Yarrowia lipolytica: one gene and its partner. The protein of the gene in region 1 purifies or fractionates together with the protein of each later gene. This does not show direct contact. Links are inferred from orthologs where the notes say so. Each region holds a gene or a part of one and is shown on either strand. Other genes may lie near its edges. The genes, in order: YALI1_E02203g and YALI1_B13586g.

What was found.
Region 2: the proteins of YALI1_E02203g (region 1) and YALI1_B13586g purify together in Saccharomyces cerevisiae (affinity purification with mass spectrometry; 3 studies listed by BioGRID, with this or other methods). This does not show direct contact. The link is inferred for Yarrowia lipolytica from reciprocal best matches to the Saccharomyces cerevisiae genes UTP15 and MPP10.

The regions. Positions count from the first base shown.
Region 1 is NC_090774.1:218,660-222,746, reverse strand, and holds YALI1_E02203g (uncharacterized protein), read right to left. Parts: upstream 2,389-4,087; coding exon 817-2,388; downstream 1-816. Other genes in the region: YALI1_E02231g (uncharacterized protein), read left to right, coding at 1-630; YALI1_E02183g (uncharacterized protein), read right to left, coding at 2,697-4,087. UniProt on the Saccharomyces cerevisiae protein: Involved in nucleolar processing of pre-18S ribosomal RNA. Required for optimal pre-ribosomal RNA transcription by RNA polymerase I together with a subset of U3 proteins required for transcription (t-UTPs).
Region 2 is NC_090771.1:1,356,792-1,361,098, forward strand, and holds YALI1_B13586g (uncharacterized protein), read left to right. Parts: upstream 1-1,857; coding exon 1,858-3,783; downstream 3,784-4,307. Other genes in the region: YALI1_B13556g (uncharacterized protein), read left to right, coding at 1-1,517. UniProt on the Saccharomyces cerevisiae protein: Involved in nucleolar processing of pre-18S ribosomal RNA. Required for the early cleavages at sites A0, A1 and A2 during 18S ribosomal pre-RNA processing.

The DNA of each region.
Region 1 (4,087 bases):
ACCTCCGAGACGCCGACCAACAAACCAGCATTGGATGTCAACGACGAGTTCACCACACCTGCATATCTCAACCGCATTTCTGTTGATGTTTCTCCATTCGAAAAACGGCTCTCTTTCGCCGAGAGAATCAGGCAGTCTGTAGTCGAGAGTCCTATCAAACAAATGTCTCCTGAGAAGGAGTTGTCACCAGCTAACCAGACTGAAGAGTATGATGACGATGAAGACGCTTGGCGTGAACTTGAAGGACTGCCTCCTAAGCCCAAAGAGCCTAAGATCGTTGATGTTACATTCGACGGGGAGGAACCTGATGAGCTGGACGAGATCATGGGAACTGTGGAGGTCCATAATCCTTATGATGAACCTGTGCAGGACGATTTAGATTGGGTTCATGAAACTGCTCTTGAAGGAGAGACTGCTCTCAGTGCTCCTATCTACAAAGAAGGTGGTATCAAGAAACGCAAGCATCAGACGCAGAAGCGAACCACTAAAAAGGCTATTGTGCGAGTCGAGTCTGAACAGCACAAGAAGGCCAAGGTGGATAACGACAACTTCTCCACCACCAACAGACTCAACACGGGATTCAAGGTCAATATGGGACAGAAGCAGTGGGCCTCGAGGTTTAAGAAGTGATCGCCCTAGCATTTAACATAAGCATACGAACGCATTTAGAGATATAACATATACAGTGTTTTTTGACTAGCTGCCATGTACAACTACTTACATACTAGTCTACAAGCAGCGATATAACTACAAGTACCATTTTCCCAATCATTATCTAATATCTATTCAACAAATGCATCCATCCTTTTGCTCTCTCTAAACACTGAGGAGCTCCAACATACCCTGGATCTTCTTGCTCTCCTTAGCAGTCTCGACCTCGGACTTGAGAGCGTCGTAGAACTCAGACACCCGCTCTTCGAGTATCGGGCTCTTGGTAATCACACTAGTGTACATGTCCAGCACGACTGCAACGTAGTCAGCAACAATGTTGATGTATCGCGAGTCAGCAATGGCCTTGGTAGCGAACTCAAAGAGAGGCTCCAGAGAGTCCTCATCTCGGTTCAGCAGTGCAGCTCGCACCTTACCTCGCTTCTTGAGCTCTTCCAGAGCCAGAACAGAGGTCTCCAGATGCTCTCCAGACAGTGCAGCATCGAGAGCATCACCCCATCGGAATCCGAGAAGCAGGTTTTCATATCGCTTCAGCAGCTTCTTGTTGGGCCGCTCGTGCTCCTCGACAATGACATGCTCAAACTGACCCTCGTACTTGGTTCCTCCAAGCACGGGTCCCTCTGCCTTCTTCTTCTTCTCCTCCTCAACAGCAGCCTTCTGGTCCAGAACCCGTCCGTTGCTGATCTTCTCGTCCTTCTTGGGCTGCTGGGTTCGAACAGCGACAATACCGGAAACCAGACCGGCCACAATATGCTGGGAGTCTAGAGACATACCAGTACAGAGCACTCCGGAGCCGTACTTCCAGCCGTAGGTAACCTTGAATGAGGTATCATCAAAGACCTTGACATGGCCGTCTAGGGAGCCAGCGAAGAATCCAGAAGCACCGTGAGTAGGGGCCAGGCAAGTAACGGTCTTGCTGAAGTTGCCCATTTGTCGGATGGTCTTTCCGGTGGTCATGTCCCAGGCCTTGACAATGGGACCTCCGGCAGACAACACCATTCCGTTGTGGTAGAGGACATCCTCAACCGGGTGATCCTGAGCCAGAGAAGAGATGGGGGTCTTTCCGGATCGGGCGTCGTAGAGTCGAACAGTTCCGTCGTACGAACCAGCAGCGACAACGTTGGCATCGACAAACTCTCCACATCGAACGTAATCCTGAGCGCCCTCAAACTCGATCAGAGGAGTGGAGCTGGTGATATCGTAGAGCTTGACGCTTCGGTCGTCGGAGGCTGTGAGGAGAGTGGTGAGGTTTGTGGGGTGGAACTTAGTCACATGAGTGGCCAGTTGGGACGCCTGCAGAGTCACCAGAATGTTTCTCGACACGGCATCGAAGATCTGAACCAGACCTGTAGCATCACCGGCCACAATCAGCTTACCATCAGACCGGAACTCGCCGCAGTATACAGTATCCTTGAAACGAGAGATAGTCTTGGTGACTTTTCGGGTCTTTCCAGAGAAGATCTGGATTCGAGTAGACGAGGTGACGGCAAAGTCATTGTGATGGTTGAAGGAAACGTGAGAGATGGCATTGTACTCTTTGACGAGCAGAGGCGAACGGTAGGTTTTCCAGAATTTTTGCTCGGGCGTCAAGTCGGAGCCCTTTTTGACCTCCTTAGCAATCGTCAACCGGTTCAAGGGGGCGGACATTGTTGATTTGCTTGTGTGGTGGTGGTGATATTGAAATCTTGCAGATGGTTTCCAATTTTTTCTGTTGTGCATGCACCTTGAACTTTATTTGCGGAGGTGGATTTGGAGATATCCACTGTCGAACATAACTACAAGTAGCTTTATGTTATGGTGAAAGGGGTTGTCACTAAGTGGGATTAACTGGGGGGAGGTTGATATTGAAAGGCAAACAGCTTCTTATAATCTTTCGTGATGGCTAATGGCCTGCTTGTTGTAGGTTTTGCATGCGTTTATCTTCGCGTATTACTTAGTATTACTTAGTAACTTACTTGAACTACAGTTCAGACACTGGCATTGAAAAATGCAATAAATACAGATGTCTTCTCATCTCTGGGAAGAAGCTATAGAAACACCTTGGAACTCTCCTTGGAGTCGTATAACGCACGACCAATCTGACGGTCCAGCTCCATTCCGTAGCCACACTGAAAGTACGACCGGTCAAACCGACAGATGTAAAATCCTGATGGCAGGCACAGCATCTTATGGAAAGGTCCAAACGGTCGTGGACACTCCATATGTGTGTCTTGGGCCAGAAATGCCGAAGTTATCATGTGAGCACGTGCACTAGCACACTCAGAATTGACTCTGAGATCAAAGTACTGATCACGCAAGACAGCCAACAGAGTGGACTTCCAGTTCTTGTCCTCTTCCAGGTTGAGCTTGGAGAGGTTGGGGAATACAGATGGATCCAGCGGAGGCAGAGGATCAGTTGCCTCCAGTTCTAGAGCCAAAACAATCACTCCCGTGAACACATGGTAGTAAATGTTGTTCCAGTGAAACAGAATGTATTGTTGGATCTGTGGAGGAGCAGAGTAGAGATAGAATTGGTTCTCCAGTAGCTTCAGAAGTGACATGAGTCCAGAGAGTCGGTCGATCTTGCCACATCGGAAAAGCAAAAGATTGGCCTTGTGCCATTGTGTTGTCAGTGCCAGTTTCTTCATGAACTCCATAGGATCTCCCTGGGGAAGAGTATTGATTATCTGGTCGATTCGCAGGAGTTCAGCAGGATCTGAAGAATCATGGCTGTTCTGCAGTCCACGGGTGAACATGTAGAGCTTCTGGGTAGTGTGTAGAAACGGGTATGAGCTGAAAGGCAATTGGGGGTATTCTAACCCAGATTTGTGGCCTACAAATGCTTGGCAGGCGTCGAAAAAAGTGCCAGAAACCGAAATGAGGTGGTTTGCAGCTTCCTTCACGTCGCTGGAGGCTGTAAAGGGAGGCAGAATCCGTTGGCTCATTGTTACCAACAGACCACACAGAGACCATCCCACCATAAGACAGTCGCCAGAGAATGAACTGTAAATGTAGAGCAGTGCTGCTCGGAAGTCGTCGATCGACGAGGTCACTAACAAGGGTATTCTGTTGAGGTATTGCTCGGCGCGATCAGAAAAGTGGATGACGGCTGAAGCATGCAAGGTATGTAGCAGCGAGTCGAAAGCGCAGGACTTGCAACTCAGGGCGTAGACTGTGTATATCAGAGCCAGGAAGGACGGTGGTTGTGGCGGTGATGGCGGTGTAGGACCAGCCTGCCCGGGGTATAGGTTTTCATAATGTTCTTCGAACTCCTTCCAGTCAATAATGGGGAAGAAGGGGTCCACCAAATTCCTATAGTTCTCGATCAGAATGTCGCTTATGTTCTTCGGGAGCGGCTCGTTGGCAATGGCGCTCTCGTACTCTTCTGTTTTGTAGGAAAAGATGCTGAGGGGATTGTTGTTTGGCGCTGTTTGGATCG
Region 2 (4,307 bases), on another chromosome or scaffold:
AGGAGTCTGCTTTTGAAAGCTACGAAATGTCTTCTGGATCTCTTCTCAGAGCTTTCGAATGTCGCTCCAAGTCTGGATCTTCGTTCAAAGGATGCAGAAAGATCTTCCCTTTGCTTGTCCCTGGAAGCAATGACGCTGTTATTGCCTTCGCTGAAACTGAACATTACCTTCTTTTGGATGTTTCTTCTTCTTCAGACTGGATCTCCATCGATCAGGTGTCTCAGAAGAGCGCTAGCTTCGACTTTGTCACCGGAGCTACAATCTCCACTTCCAATACCATCTCCACTGATATTTCCTTCCCCAAATTGACTTCTGGACTCGTTTCTTACAAGGTCAGTGTCTCGAAGGGAGTGCAGCTTGTTCGACAATACGTTCAACAAAATTCTAGTCGAGTATACGACTCTAAGTACCTTGTGCCTCACAACGGGGTAGTTGACGTATCGTTCCATGGAGATGTCCCCTTTGTTCCTTATTTTCAGTCATCTCCTCTTCATCTACAGGTCTTTGGAGGGGGTCATGTGACTATCCGGGTGGACTGGATCGGTTCTCTGGGTAACCTATTTATGCGGTATCGCATTCTCTTCATTTCTCTTCCTTCTGCTATCTTGTATGCAATCTTTTTGGTACAGTTCCATGCAGGTACTGCCAGGTTTCTGTCTCTTCGACAAAGTACAAGTATCTTTATTAACCGTTACCTACTTACTTCATGCTTGGCTGGGTCTGGTATTGCCTATTTGACGGGACTTTCACAAGTCAGAGACTTTCTACATCTCATTCAGATCCCTATTACCAAGACCTTTGCCGTTGACCCTTCATACACTAAGAACGACTTGTTTTTAGGACTCAGCGGAGTCTCTGGGACAGTTCTGGCACCTATCTTCACTGTCTTCTCCACCGGTATGGTTGTTTTGATCACAGAACTGGTCATGGGATTGACTTCTCTTCTGTCCTTCTGTTTCAAAAGCACTACAACTGCCCAGTCAGAGTCAGAATCAGGCGACCCTATCAGCGATCTTTTACACAAGAGAACTGTTTTTGTGGCTGTCATTTCTGTTCTGGTTCTGCTGTTCTTTCCCTACCAGCTGGCCTTTACTCTGGCCACTGTGGCTCTTCTGGTGATGACTGCGTACTTCAAGTCCAACAAAGCTCCGCAGGAACAATCATTCAACAACTACATTTCCACCATCTGTGTTCTCATGACTTGGACATGTATCATAAATGCTCCTGTGCTGGCAGTCTGGATTCAGGGCATTGTTGTTCAGCGATCAATGACCTTTTCTTCCCATCACAACCTCGTTTCCATTCTCCCCACACTGCTGTTTGTGGAAAACCTATCCTTCAGGCGTATTCCCAGTGGTTCTTCCATCACTTCTCTCTTGTTGGCATACACCAGTCTGCACTGTTTGTTCTATGGAATGATGCAGGCATTCATGATCCACCATGGATTCAACCTGTTGGCCACCTGGCTCCTTTGCATGTCCTACAAAAAGGTCTTTTTCAAGTCCAAGCATGAGTAACCAAATCGATGAAACAAGTGGAGTGCGAAGAGGGTGACTATAAGTAGTGAGTGCAGTAGCTACTTTAGTGAGCTGGGAGCCTTGGGTCTAAAAGTGGCAAGTAAAAGAGTCTTAGACGGGTGTAAACGTATGATAAGTTCTATAACCAGTTCAATTTCCTGTAACTATTCGGTATCCCTATAATTCCACAAATATATGTCATATTCCTCTCCCCATATTGCCCTTCGCTTACATAATCATCCGATTAAACTCTGAGTTTATTTGAAAAAAATCCTGTGGGTGCATGATCAAGTTTTCAGTTTGGACTTTTTATACCACAATTCACTAAAAGCACAGCACAATGTCTGGAATTCCCACGATTGTGACGTTGGACGAGCCGCTGAGCGTGTTGGCCGTGCCCGATTCTGAGCTCAAGAAGCAGGCTCTTGCCAAGGTCAAGGAGGCGCTGGACCCTCTCTCAGAGCAGTACTCGGTGCTTGATCAGATTCATGTTCAGGATATGGATGCTGAGATGGTCTGGGCTCAGGCCAAGATGGTTATCGATGGCGTTTGTGATAAGATGATTGGCGAGGTGTTTCCCAAGTACGGCAAGATCCAGCCCGACAGCGAGCAAGAAGATGAGGAAGAGGAGAGTGACGACGAGAGCCAGTATGAGAGCGCTCAGGAGGAGGTTCCTGGAGAGGAGGTTGTTGGCGAGGAGGAGGATGAGGGAGTTGACGTCTTTGACGATGGCGACGAGGACGACGAGGACGATACTGAGGAGGACAACGAAGGCAGCGATGTTGATATGGACATGGATAATCTTGTTGATGATTATGAAGATGAGGAAGAAAAGGAAGACGACGACGAGGAAGAGGAGGAGGAGGAGGAGGAGGAAGACGATTCTGGAGGGGAAGAAAAGCCCGATAAATTCGGTCTCAATGATGGCTTCTTCGATATCGACAAGTTCAACAAGCAGATCATGGCCATGGAGGCTGACAACTTTGGAGAAGACGGACCCGACTTTGATTGGAACAAAGAGCTCGGCGAGCAGAGCGACGACTCGGTCGACGATATCAAGTACGACGACTTTTTCGGCAAGGCCAAGTTTGACAAGAAGCTGCAGTACGAGCAGCGGGTTGCCAAGCGACAAAAGCTTGCCGAACAGGCTCTGGAGAACAAGGATGAGGAGTCTGACGATGAGTCTGACAACGAGGCCGGTTCTGACGACAACGAAGCTGACTTCGACATGGAGGGATCTGGGGACGAAAACGAATACGAGGACATGATCAACTCTGTTAAGAAGGATCTGTTCGAGGAAGATATTGCCGAAGACACCCCCGAGCATCTGTCGACGTTTGAGAAACAGCAACGGGAAATCATGAAGCAGATTGCCCAGTACGAGAAGGAAAACGTGGGCGAAAAGAAGTGGACCCTTAAGGGAGAGGCTCGAGCAGCCCAGCGAACTAAGGACTCGCTGCTGGAGGAGGATCTGGACTTTGAGCGGGGAGCTAAACCTGTTCCGGTCATGACCCAGGCCGTCACCGAGTCGCTGGAAGACATGATCAAGGCCCGAATCAAGAGCGGCCAGTTTGATGACCTTCCGCGACGTTTCTTTGACGACCTGCCTCAGTTCAAGAAGAGCAAGCTCATCGAGGTCTCTGAGCAAAAGTCGCAAAAGTCTCTGGCTGATCTGTACGAGGCTGAGGCTATGGGAGAGACCGAACCATCGACGACGAACGAGCCCCCTAACGAAATGCGAGACGCTGCCCATCGAGAAATCGAAGACCTATACGCCGACGTTGCCTACACCCTCGATTCTCTGTCATCTTGGACCTACAAGCCCAAACCCACTAAATCCATCCAGATTGTCACCAACGCTCCTGCCATCTCCATGGAGGAGGCCCAGCCCCAGGCTCTGGCCCAGGAGGAACAGCTGGCTCCCCAGGAGGTTTACAAGCCCGAGGTTGCCGATAAGAGAGAGCGACTGGCTGGCTCGACTGGCCTTCCTCAGACCAAGGCTGAGATGACCCGAGAAGAGCGAAAGCGAGCCAAGAAGAAGGAGAAGATTGCCCGAGGAAAGCAGTTGGCAGAGAAGGAGGAGCGACAGCGATCTCTTGCGGTGCATTCCAAGGAGGGCGATGCCAAGGGCTCCAAGGCCCAGGTCATGGAGACTCTGAAGCAGGGTAATGTTACGGTGATTGGAAAGAGAGGCGAGAAGAGAGGACTAGATGGAAAGCTGAAGAGGGATCAGAAAGCCAAGGATGGTTACAGTCTGAAACTGTGATCGAAGCGAACAAAAAGTCCAGTTACAAATTATATAATTGATAGAGCATGTTTATTGAATGGCTGTAGGTAGAAGAGTTACGTATTTTTGAATATGGGTAATTACAAGAGCATACACAGCTGATGACGACCAACCTTGCCCTTGGAGTTTCCAATACTATGAAACACAGGTTATTCCCTGGAGTTTACACACCAGCCACGATCGATGTTCTAGTATGAAACCATTCTGTCGTGTGTCTAACACTCTTCGTCTATCAACGCCCGAGACAAGCTGAAACACAGACGACCTCGTTGAACGCACCCCATTTACACGCTTCCAAAGCCGATTCAGAGATCTACTTGGGATTTTTGGTGCTCCGGTTACCCGTTGCTGTCCGTGTATCGGTTTACTGTTTCTTACCCATCTCATCCCTTCAGGCAAGTCCAACGGGACCCCTGCTTATGTCCGACTACTTCCGACGATAGAGCAGCAAGAGTAAGGATATGGGGTTGTTGTACGACGGGAATGTTGCGTAGCTATTTTCA